Linked DNA regions of Arabidopsis thaliana. The main gene of each other region encodes a partner of the protein of the gene in region 2 in a complex. Each region holds a gene or a part of one and is shown on either strand. Other genes may lie near its edges. A codon is read from its position in the direction of its gene.

The links. The genes of interacting proteins can lie anywhere in the genome.
Region 1: the proteins of SCL3 (region 2) and JKD are in contact, whole or in part, in a crystal structure (PDB 6KPB), measured with the Arabidopsis thaliana proteins. Residues at the interface, in NP_175459.1 of Arabidopsis thaliana: Glu48 (codon at 2,912), Gly51 (codon at 2,921), Leu52 (codon at 2,924), Ile55 (codon at 2,933), Thr90 (codon at 3,038), Met91 (codon at 3,041), Leu366 (codon at 3,866), Tyr367 (codon at 3,869), Ala370 (codon at 3,878), Ala371 (codon at 3,881), Asp374 (codon at 3,890); in NP_195935.2 of Arabidopsis thaliana: Ser370 (codon at 1,388), Ala371 (codon at 1,385), Thr372 (codon at 1,382), Leu374 (codon at 1,376), Leu375 (codon at 1,373), Gln376 (codon at 1,370), Ala378 (codon at 1,364), Ala379 (codon at 1,361), Met381 (codon at 1,355).

The regions. Positions count from the first base shown.
Region 1 is NC_003076.8:743,164-749,661, reverse strand, and holds JKD (C2H2-like zinc finger protein), read right to left. Parts: upstream 4,242-6,498; 5' UTR 3,814-4,241; coding exon 3,627-3,813; intron 3,253-3,626; coding exon 2,853-3,252; intron 2,021-2,852; coding exon 1,764-2,020; intron 1,652-1,763; coding exon 984-1,651; 3' UTR 634-983; downstream 1-633. UniProt on the Arabidopsis thaliana protein: Transcription factor that, together with BIB, regulates tissue boundaries and asymmetric cell division by a rapid up-regulation of 'SCARECROW' (SCR), thus controlling the nuclear localization of 'SHORT-ROOT' (SHR) and restricting its action.
Region 2 is NC_003070.9:18,677,054-18,682,395, reverse strand, and holds SCL3 (scarecrow-like 3), read left to right. Parts: upstream 1-2,095; 5' UTR 2,096-2,392; intron 2,393-2,633; 5' UTR 2,634-2,770; coding exon 2,771-4,219; 3' UTR 4,220-4,702; downstream 4,703-5,342. Other genes in the region: DWF5 (Ergosterol biosynthesis ERG4/ERG24 family), read left to right, coding at 1-62, 155-221; AT1G50410 (SNF2 domain-containing protein / helicase domain-containing protein / zinc finger protein-like protein), read right to left, coding at 5,031-5,135, 5,219-5,342. UniProt on the Arabidopsis thaliana protein: Probable transcription factor involved in plant development.

The sequences.
Region 1 (6,498 bases), on a different chromosome or scaffold from region 2:
ATAGGATTTACCATTGGTGGGGGGAAGCAAATAACATAAATACATACTAAATCTTTTAGTGTTTGACAATGAAAAACGAATAACGCATGGATCCACAAGACGACAGATTTCATATTTTCTAGGAAAATAATACTAGCTATTTAGTTATACTATTGTATGTGTGGGGTTAGAGATAAGTCAAAATAAAGACAAGCACAAGCCTATCAGTCTACTGAAAAGAGTATCAGTTAAAAATATTTTAATTTACGCAGAATCCAAAAGGTTACATTGACACACACCTCGAGAACTTGAGTTCTCTTGAAAGGAAGTTTCAACAAGGTGGTTCAGTTTCAATTATACTTTATGTAAGAATTTTGTATTTTATTAAAGAAAACAGTTATATATGAACGCATAATGTTGGTTATAAAATGAGTTTACTTTTGTTTTAAAACTTTTGAAGCGACTTTCTTTGAGGCTTTGAGCTGTTCTTGGGGAACGTTTTGTAGGGTTATTGTCAACATATCTAAATTTAGAATATAACTGTATAAGTGTAGTGATCGCATCACAATAGAATCAAAGAAGTGTCTAAAACAGAAAACCATGGATTTTAGAGAATTGAACATATATATCACAATATTCGATTTAAGCAATGTCTTCGTTAACAAACTTGGAAAAGCCTGAAGATTTACCAATTTTTTGAATGTCATTACAAGAACGAGAAAAAATAAACAACATTTACAAAACGACAATGTCGGAAATACATATCCATGCATGTCATGGTGGTATATATTATGTGAATTGCGATAATCATAAACATAGTAAAAAAGTACATAACATTCAATGTAAATTGATATGATGATGTCTTGTCAACCTTTGTCCCCACATTCCGACCGCTTCACAAGGGGGTACGGTTCTTAATTAGACTTGTCTCCTCAAAGGAACTTCCAATCCTAATTAAACCCAAAATCTTGTCCCCCCCACACAGTACCTAATTAAACACATAATCAACCCAATGGAGCAAACCTTGCGAGTTCTTGAGGCAAAAACGGACGACGACCCGTTTGGTGAGGGTGATGCTCGTTGCTCACTCCAAGAAAATCCCGGGTTAGACCCATCTGTTGAGCCGGGTTTAGACCCGATCGGTTCGATTGAAAGGGATTATTATCCACACTACTAGTGGAGACACCACTAAGAGGAGGAGGAGCACGATTATGATTCTCTCTTAAGACATTGGTGTTGAAGTTGTTTAGTTGTTGTTGGATCATCATTGGAGAAGACGATCTAGGAGGAGGAGAAGCGGTGGCCGAGGAGGATGTCATTGTTGGGCCGGCGAAGAATGACGGAGCGGTGGAGGAATTGCTTCTAGTAGAGCCCATTTGTGCAGCTTTTTGTAAGAGAGCTGTGGCAGACATTGGAGAGAGAGGCTTGTTTTGTTTGTTTTCGGAGGAAGAGGAGAAGAGTGGTGAGAAAGATGAGTCTTTTAGGGTTTGGTGTTGTAGTGAAGCTGAGGTTTGTTGTGATGTTGAGGATGATGATAAGGTGAGACTAGGGTTTGTGGAAGTCATTGGAATTTGGAATTGGTGGTGGCCGGAGAAATCAGGGAGGGATGATGATGACGACGGGAAGAGGTGGTGGTTGCCGGTGGAGGCCATTTGAACCATCTCGGATAGACCTAAATTAACGCAATTGAATTGATAATAGTATTATAACATATTCATCAAAAAAAAAAAATATTTCATATATATGAATAACTAATTTAGAAAGAGGATTGGTATGTGATGTACCTTGCGCATGCATTGCACTTAGGTCATGTCCAAACCCTAGACCGAATTGAGAGATAGCAGCATTAATGTCGGGATGATGAACTCCTCGGTGTACAAATCCATGAGGAAGATTTGGATTATTCATAACATTTGACTCATTTCCAAAATTCAGATTCGTCGTAGAGATCACCGGATTGTTGTTACTAAGTGAACTCATCCTCGCTCCTTCCTCAGTTAATGCGTCGCAGAACGCTCTATGTGTGATGAAACTATCTTTCCTATAAAACAGAGATCGATTATTTATTAGATAATAAATAATAAAAATAAAGACATAATTATTTTAAGAGTGAGACAACTGCATTGATTATTATTCAATAGAGCATTGAATTTGAAATCATTTGCAAAACAAAAACATTCTTGGCCGGAGTAAGCATTTATTTCTCCTATGCAAACTCGCGACATGAAGACAGAAATAAACATAAAACTAGAAAAAAAAAGAAAAAAAAAAAGCACAAAAACCTTAATTGTTACTATATACAAAAACATAGAACTTATATATATATATATATATATAATATATATGCATGTGTGTGTATGTGTTTGTTGACAAAATATATGCATGATATCTAGTTTCTTGCCATATGGTGTGAATAGAAGAAAAGAATGAAGCCAAATAGACATGTACACATACAACCACACAAAATGAATAGATGCTCATGCCATCAAAATCTCATCGAATATCATATACTCATAAAGTATGCAGCTATTATTTCAAAATCTTAAACAAAAATAAATAGAAATTGCTCCCATAAGTCAGAATGTCTTCAATTAATGCTCTGCTCTATTCCAACTTTCGCAACAGATATAACAAATCACAAGACATTGCACACACATTCATGCATGCCGACACTTGATATATACACCTATATCTGTTTGAGTTTTTTACACAATTCTTTTAGGTTCTAACACTGTCACATGAATTGTTTTGCATTGCTTTCATCCGATATTGCTATATATGAATAGAATACCGAGTTCTAATACTTCATGTAGAAAAAAACTCAACTTATACATTAACCAATACCAACTGTTAATCTCGTTAGTAAATATTACCTGGAGAACAACGTGCCACAGTCACATTTATACTCACGAGTACCACAAGTTTTCGCATGTGCCTTCCAATCAGACTGAACAGCGTATTTCTTAGAACACTTTTCACACTTCCACTTCTTTTCACCGTGTTTGCGGCTGTAGTGTTTCTTGATCCCAGTGAGGTCTCCAAGGGCCCTGGAGGCATCATGGTGTACACAAGTCTTGATAGGACATATGTATACTTTCTTCTTTATCACTTCTTGTTTGGACCGTTGCTTTAGCTTCCATGGAAGGTTGTGGCCACGGCGATGTAGTTGTAAATTCTGGTCCCTTTGAAACCCTTTGTTGCAGATCTCGCACACGAATCTGTTTGTTGCCATGAGTGTTGTTGGCGATAGAGCGATGACATCAGCATCTGGATCTGTCCATATTTATGTTTAAATATGATATATCAACGCATATTTTGATCTAATGGCTCCAAATATGTTGTAGAGATTATAAATAAACAAATATGTAACATGACCATCCGGATACAGTAAAAGGAGGAAATATACATATAAGAAATATAGAGAGGGATGTATATGCATATGTGAATACTGAGTTTGTGATTATTTCAGCAAATAATATATATGGAGATGTTATTTTCATCAGAAAACAGATCTGCAAATATATGGAGCTGCTTTCTACGTCTTATGTATATGTAGAAATATAGACATACAAGTATCTATGACTCACACACATGCACATAGATTTGGGTATACATGTGAGTATATTATGGTGTGGAATGAGTTATACCTGGAGTGCCAGGTTGATTTCTCTTCTTCTTGGCTGATGAAGAGTTTGGTTTCGCATTTGGGTTAGGGTTAGAATTAGGGTTAAGGTCAGGGATCTGCTGCTGAAGATGATGAAGGTGTGTTTCTTGATGAACAAACCCTCCCATGGAGGATGAAATAGAAAATGGATCTCCTGGAATCATCTGCATATCTGTGTTTTAATTTAAAACGGATCGGAGCTAAAGAACAAGAACAAGAACAGCTGGGTTTTGTTTTTTTTTTATAAAATCTTGCAAGAAAACAAGAAGATGATCAGGAGGTTTATAACAGTATACAAACAAAAGAGATAGTTAATTAGGGTTTAATATGCTGAGGGGAGAAGAAGAACAAGAACAAGAGCATATAAGTTTTTTTTGGGTTTTAGGGCTTGAGAATGTTTGAATGTGCTTGACTCTTTGGTTATGCCAAATGACAAGAAAAGACCAAAGAAGATGAGGAAGAAAATTTCAAGGCACGAAAGTATACGTATATATAAAGATTATATTGAAAGAGGATTTGTTGTTATAAACAAAAAAAAACTCTTGCAGGAATAAAAGAAAAAATTGTATAAATAATGTTGAGAGATCTGGGAGATGTACATATAGAGATCTACCCTTTTTTTTGTAGTCGACTAGTAAATTATTTTCTAAAAGGGAAAGTGATTTTTTGTAAATAATTATTTTCTTCGAAAAGGCCAGTCTCTTCCTTTCTTGCAGTTTAGATAGACACACGTGCATGTGTACATCTATGGTGTGTTTATAAGTTGGGAGAAGGTATAAATATTTAAGGGATGTAATCTAAATTATATTTTAGATGATATTGTTATTTGAAAAATATATATCATCAATTAGTGTATGTTAATTAGGGGTGTTAAAATGGGTAACCCAACTCAACTCAACTCATAATCAAATGAGTTTAGGGTTAAATGAGTTATGGGTTGACCCAACTCATTTTGTTAAATGGGTTAGGTCAACCCATAACTCATTTAATTTGATGGGTTGAGTTGTTAAATGGATTAACCCATTTAAATAATAATTTAATTAATTACTATTATAAAACAATAATAAATAATTATCATTATTAATTCATTATCATCAAACTTAGGATATTTACGGATTCCACTTTTTACGGATTTACGTTTTTGGCGGGAAAATCACGGGTTTACGTTTTTGGCGGAAAATTACGGGTTTACATTTTTGGCGGGAAAATCTCGGGTTTACGTTTTTGGCGGGAAAATCACGGATTTACATTTTTGGCGGGAAAATCACGGTGTTTAAAAGATTTACGTTTTTGGCGGGAAAATTACGAGTTTACGTTTTTGGCGGGAAAATCTTAGGTTTACGTTTTTGGCGGGAAAATCACGGATTTACGTTTTTGGCGGGAAAATCACGGGTTTACGTTTTTGGCGGAAAAATCATGGGTTTACGTTTTTGGCGGGAAAATTACGGGTTTATGTTTTTTGGCGGGAAAATTATGAGTTTACGTTTTTGGCGGAAAAATTATGGATTTACGTTTTTGGCGGAAAAATCTCGGGTTTACGTTTTTGGCGGGAAAATCACGGGTTTAAGTTTTTGACAGAAAAATCACGGGTTTATATTTTTGGCAGAAAAATCTCGGGTTACGTTTTTGGGGGAAAAATCACGGGTTTAAATTTTTGGCAGGAAAATCACGGGTTTATGTTTTTTGGTGGAAAATTACGAGTTTACTTTTTTCTCAATTTCATCGCTTGTATATTTAAGAAATTTAGAAAAATATTAATTTTATTAAATCGGTTTAGTTGTGTTGGTTAAACTTAAATTGGCATTGGTTTAGAGATTTTAGTTGGTTTAATTCAATTTTACAAAACTTGATGGGTTAATTGGGTAAACCATTGAAACCATTAACCATTACAACCCAACTCATTTTACTCATCAAACCAATTGACTCATCAACTCATTTTACTCATCAAACCAATTGACTCATCAACTCATTTTACTCATCAAACCAATTGACTCATCAACTCATTTGACTCATCAACTCATTTGAGTCAAAATTTTGAACTCATTAGAGTTTACGGATTGAGTTGAGTTGACTTGATCCATGAATTTTGATCCATTTTGACACCCTTAATGTTGATGCATAATTTGATGATATTTTTGGATTTATTCTTTATTCAACTAAAATCTTCATTCACATAGATATAGTTTCAAAGGATTGTAGATACAACATTTAACTATTACGGTCATAACTTTAAAGGGTTTCTTAGTTTCGGCATTTTATTGTTTTATGTTATTTGTAATAAGTTTTTTTTTTCTACAAATTGAATTTATTTATTTTTTAAAAAAAAACAATTTATATACGTACCAATATAATTGTTGCATATTTTAGAAGCAGTAATCAATAACTATATATATATATACTCCCTATATATAGACTAATTGAGATATATATATATATATATATCTTCTTAACAAATTTCATTTTATTCTTTATAAAACAAAACAATATCTTTTTATAAGGTATTTTGAGACTAAGAAACAGTAGCTCTTTATTTATTACTTATTTTATAAAAAATCTACGTTGATATGTACTAGCTATGTTTCGGATCTACATATTAATTTAATTGGACATAGTTTCAACTCCTATTTTAATATAAAAGGAAAATTTTATCCACCCAAGAAATTGTATTTGGCAAAGGAAAATGTTCTGTGTCCCAAGAACAAAGCATATAGGTCGATGCAAAAAGTTCCCGTTGTTTAAAGAGAGCACCATCTTTGACTCCCAAAAAGTTTTAGGAACTCAAAAAAGCCTTTTTGTAATTTGTATTTATTTTTCCACTACTTTTTATATAAAGATTTTACAAAACTTGGAAGTAC
Region 2 (5,342 bases):
ATATTTCTCACCCTTCTTCTCTTTGATCGAGCCAAGAGAGACGATGACCGATGCCGATCAAAGTAAGCACCAAATCTAAATGATTTATTTTACACATCCTCTTTGATCTTACTCTGATTTGCTGACAATATTCGGGTTTTGTTTTGGTAAAAAGGTATGGGAAATATTGGAAGCTGTATTGTGAGAAAGTCAAATACAGGATCATTCCGGGAATTTATTGATTGTAACGAAGTCTGTTGTTCTCATTTTCTACTTATTACGTTAATTCGAACGTTGGAATCATCAAAAGACCGTGCCAAAACAAAAATGCAAATTGATGCGATAGACATTCTTTTGCTGATTTGTATGCTATAGGTTTTCAAATCTCTAGCTACACTTATGTATTTCCCTAGATTATCAAAGTTAGCCTGCCGTTTTCTAATTTTATTATTTGATATTTTGATTATACTGCTTCTTAATGCATCAAATAAGTTGATTCATCCATCTAATATTTTAACTACATCAAATGAAGTCTTTTATAAGTACAGGCACTAATTGAACTTGAACCCTATAAAATACATGAATAATCACAAAGAATTGATAGTGTTCTTTCAGTTTTTCAATCACAAAGAACTCACCGACATTATCAAGTTGACTTCACTTTTAGACTTAATTGGTGTTCTGGAGGATCCACAAAACTACTATTACACAGTTTTCACAAAATTGTGATTCTTTATTTTTTATTTTCTTTGGTCAAACTAACATTTCATTCAACTTTAAACGAGAGTTGCCTCCACGTGGAGAGTATACACAAAAAGCTACGAGGACAAATGCTCAAACAAAAAGACATAAGAAGGGGAGCTCAGAAGCTCAACCCGAGTAGCAGCATCCAAAGTTGCTAAAACAGAACCATCATTTACTTCTGAGGCGGTCTTCGTACCAAGCTCCTTCAGCAAAATTGTGATTCTATGTTTGGATATCATGAGATCTAACTACAAAGTTTTTAATAACAAAAACTTACCATTCTCTAATTTGTAGTCAAAGCTAAACAAATTTCATACTAAAACAATTTTACTGTGTTGTTATGGATGCATATTTTTCTCACTTTATAGTACTATTTTACTATTGATAAGATGAAAAAAAAGTTGAGGTACAATAGTAGTAAAATAGCATCATTCTTTTTCTGTAGAATCTCTCTGGTCAATGGTCTTTTTAGTTTAAAAACTGAATAATGTTCTCTCTCACACAGTAAAAAACAAAGAGAGAGAGAAAGAAGAGAAGAAGACAAAAATGTAGGCATTAAAAAGAAGAAAAAGACAAAGAGAAAAGTAATGAAAAGACAATGAACATTTAAAGAAGACAGACAAATCCCACACCCAAGCCTCAGCCTCATCTCTTTTATTGTTATTTGTTTTTCTAACAAAACAACAAAAACAAAAGAGATGGTTTTTGGGTTTTGTTTTGTCTTTGTTAGGGCGTGTTTGGACGTTTCCTTCTTCTCAGAATCAATATTTTACCAAAACAGCTTTCTTTTTTTCTCTTTAACAATTTTTTTGATGTAGAAATATATAGTCATGATTCCAAATCCACCTCATGCCATGACAAAAACCCATAAAAGTGGAGGTTCCAATCTCGAATACAGACATATATGTTGTATTCGTGTATGTATCTATTATAAGATAATTCCAATTTGTATAATGCCAAATGGGTTCATTGAACTTCTTCTTCCTTCATAATTAAGTGTTGCTTTTTCTTCTTAGTTCCTCTAAATCAAGAAAATTCTAGGTGAAACTTCTCTTATCTTGACTTTATATAAAATAATAACTATAAAAATAATCAATAAGACTAATTCCTACAAGTCTTACAAATTTAAAAGAAAATGAAAATGCAACATTAGCTAATACACATAATAGTATAAGATTGATGGATGTATTCTTATTCAGTTTTATTTATAAATGCAACATAAGCTAATACACTCTCATTCAGTTTTATTTATTAATGTTACACCACTTTAAGAGCACTCAAAATCAAAATACGTATTCTTATATGATATTCATTCATGTAGTACTAGTACACATAATAGTATAAGATAGATGGATGGGATTGGAAAATTTGACAACCTTTTGTTTAATAATTCCTTAAAACCAAGGAAAGAAGAAAGAGGAAACGAAAAAAACAAAAAGGAAGAAGACAAAACCGACTATCACGCATTGTCTGGTACGTAGAGCCAAAAGGAACAATGCCTCTGTTTTAGTGTTTTCTTTCTTAAAGTTTTTTCCCAAAACACAAACAACATTTCACACACACGCTATTACTCACAAGATAACCACCAGAGACGTGGATAGAGAGATAAAGATTGAGAGAACCCTCTCACTCCCAAAAAAAAAGCTTTAGACATTTTCTCTAAATCCATGTAAGTTTTTTTCTTTGGTTATTGTTGTTTGTTATCTTCTTTGATCATTTGCTATTATTTTGTTTTGTTTCTTTCTTAGTTTATCAAATTAGGAAAGTTTTAATTCAGCTCTCTGTTTGTGTTTCTTCGTCTATATCTATTTCAAATAGTTTAACTAGATTCAAAGGTTTTTAAAATTCAGTACTTTCTCTGCAAACCCTAGTTCCTCTGTTCTTTAACCCCCTTTTTTGTTAAACTGCAGATTCTCTGCATCTTTCAAGAAATTCCGAATCGTGGGTTTGGTTCTTCTCGTTACGAGTCTCTCAAAGTTTAAATCTTTCTTTACAAAAAAGGTTACTTTTGGTTCTGAGTAAATCAAAATCAAGCTTTTGGCCTTCAATGGTGGCTATGTTTCAAGAAGATAATGGAACATCTTCTGTAGCTTCATCACCACTTCAAGTCTTCTCAACTATGTCACTCAACAGACCGACTCTCCTCGCTTCTTCATCTCCGTTTCATTGTCTCAAAGATCTCAAACCAGAGGAGCGTGGTCTCTACTTAATCCACCTCTTGCTAACTTGTGCCAACCACGTGGCTTCAGGTAGCCTCCAAAACGCTAACGCAGCGCTCGAGCAGCTCTCTCACCTCGCTTCTCCTGACGGCGACACGATGCAGCGAATCGCTGCTTACTTCACCGAAGCGCTTGCTAACAGAATCCTTAAGTCCTGGCCTGGTCTTTACAAGGCTCTTAACGCAACTCAGACAAGAACTAACAATGTCTCTGAGGAGATTCATGTTAGAAGACTCTTCTTTGAGATGTTCCCGATACTCAAAGTCTCTTACTTGCTCACTAATCGAGCTATACTCGAGGCTATGGAAGGAGAGAAGATGGTTCATGTGATTGATCTCGATGCTTCTGAGCCAGCTCAATGGCTTGCTTTGCTTCAAGCTTTTAACTCTAGGCCTGAAGGTCCACCTCATTTGAGAATCACTGGTGTTCATCACCAGAAGGAAGTGCTTGAACAAATGGCTCATAGACTCATTGAGGAAGCAGAGAAACTCGATATCCCGTTTCAGTTTAATCCCGTTGTGAGTAGGTTAGACTGTTTAAATGTAGAACAGTTGCGGGTTAAAACAGGAGAGGCCTTAGCCGTTAGCTCGGTTCTTCAATTGCATACCTTCTTGGCCTCTGATGATGATCTCATGAGAAAGAACTGCGCTTTACGGTTTCAGAACAACCCTAGTGGAGTTGACTTGCAGAGAGTTCTAATGATGAGCCATGGCTCTGCAGCTGAGGCACGTGAGAATGATATGAGTAACAACAATGGGTATAGCCCTAGCGGTGACTCGGCCTCATCTTTGCCTTTACCAAGTTCAGGAAGGACTGATAGCTTCCTCAATGCTATTTGGGGTTTGTCTCCAAAGGTCATGGTGGTCACTGAGCAAGACTCAGACCACAACGGCTCCACACTAATGGAGAGGCTATTAGAATCACTTTACACCTACGCAGCATTGTTTGATTGCTTGGAAACAAAAGTTCCAAGAACGTCTCAAGATAGGATCAAAGTGGAGAAGATGCTCTTCGGGGAGGAGATCAAGAACATCATATCCTGCGAGGGATTTGAGAGAAGAGAAAGACACGAGAAGCTTGAGAAATGGAGCCAGAGGATCGATTTGGCTGGTTTTGGGAATGTTCCTCTTAGCTATTATGCGATGTTGCAGGCTAGGAGATTGCTTCAAGGGTGCGGTTTTGATGGGTATAGAATCAAGGAAGAGAGCGGGTGCGCAGTAATTTGCTGGCAAGATCGACCTCTATACTCGGTATCAGCTTGGAGATGCAGGAAGTGAATGATATATTACAGTTTGTCTTCTATTTTGGTTATGAGCAGAGTCCCTTTCTTTTTTGTATACATGGGGACACAATCTTAGTTGTTTTGTGATGGTGACTTTCTGTCTCTTTATGCTATTTTGGCTTAAATGCTTCTACTGCCTCTGCATGTAAAGCCTTTGTGTGTTGGTTCAATTTGGTCTGGTGTGGGTGTAATACCAAACCAAATCCAATTTGAGCTGAAGATAACTAATTTGATGATCGGTTCAAGTTCAGAACTCCAAATTCTTTCAGAGACCAGCCAAACTTTGCCTATCTTTAAGCAGGTGATCTTGTCATTTGTGTATTGTAAATAACTTAAACTCGGTATATATATTTAGGTTACTAAAGGACATGTTCACTATCCAAAGAGTATACGACTTATCTGCTGTCCAAATACTTTGTAACCTAAAGTTCACGTGCTTCATTTACATTGAATCTAGTTTAACCTAATCTTCTTGCTTCATTTATATTTGAATTTTGTTTAAGCAATCTAGTCTTTATCTTGTCTTAGCAAATTCACAGAGTGTTTCTCATGCAAAAGTGTTGCATGATCAAAACACCTTGATAATAAGATTGAAAGAGTAATGTGATCCCAAAAGGAAAGAAGATCTCGGATGAACTGATTCAGAAAAAGTATATACTCTGATGTTATATATACTATGAGACAACAGCTAAGTTATTTACATATTTCCTCATTTCAAATCTGTGAACCTGAAGAACACAAGAATGCAGCTCATGATCAAAATTCTGAAAGAAGCGAAACTTCGCCAACCCAAGATTTAAGAACAGCTACACCATGAATAGATATTTGAGATCATCAACTGTTAATCGAGTTGCAGAGCTTCCACCATGATCTTCACCAAAGGCAGACGCAACCATTTTTCTTTTCTCTTCCTATAATAATAACCAAAAATCACACAACCACAAATGAGAGAAACTGAGGGGGGAAACAAGTATCAGCTATAAGGGATCTTTACCTGGAGAGCCAAAATTCTATCCTCCACAGTATTTTTTATCGTAATACGAGTTACAGTAACAGGTCGAGTTTGTCCAATACGATGTGCTCGATCAATAGCCTGATCTTCAGTAGTTGGATTCCAC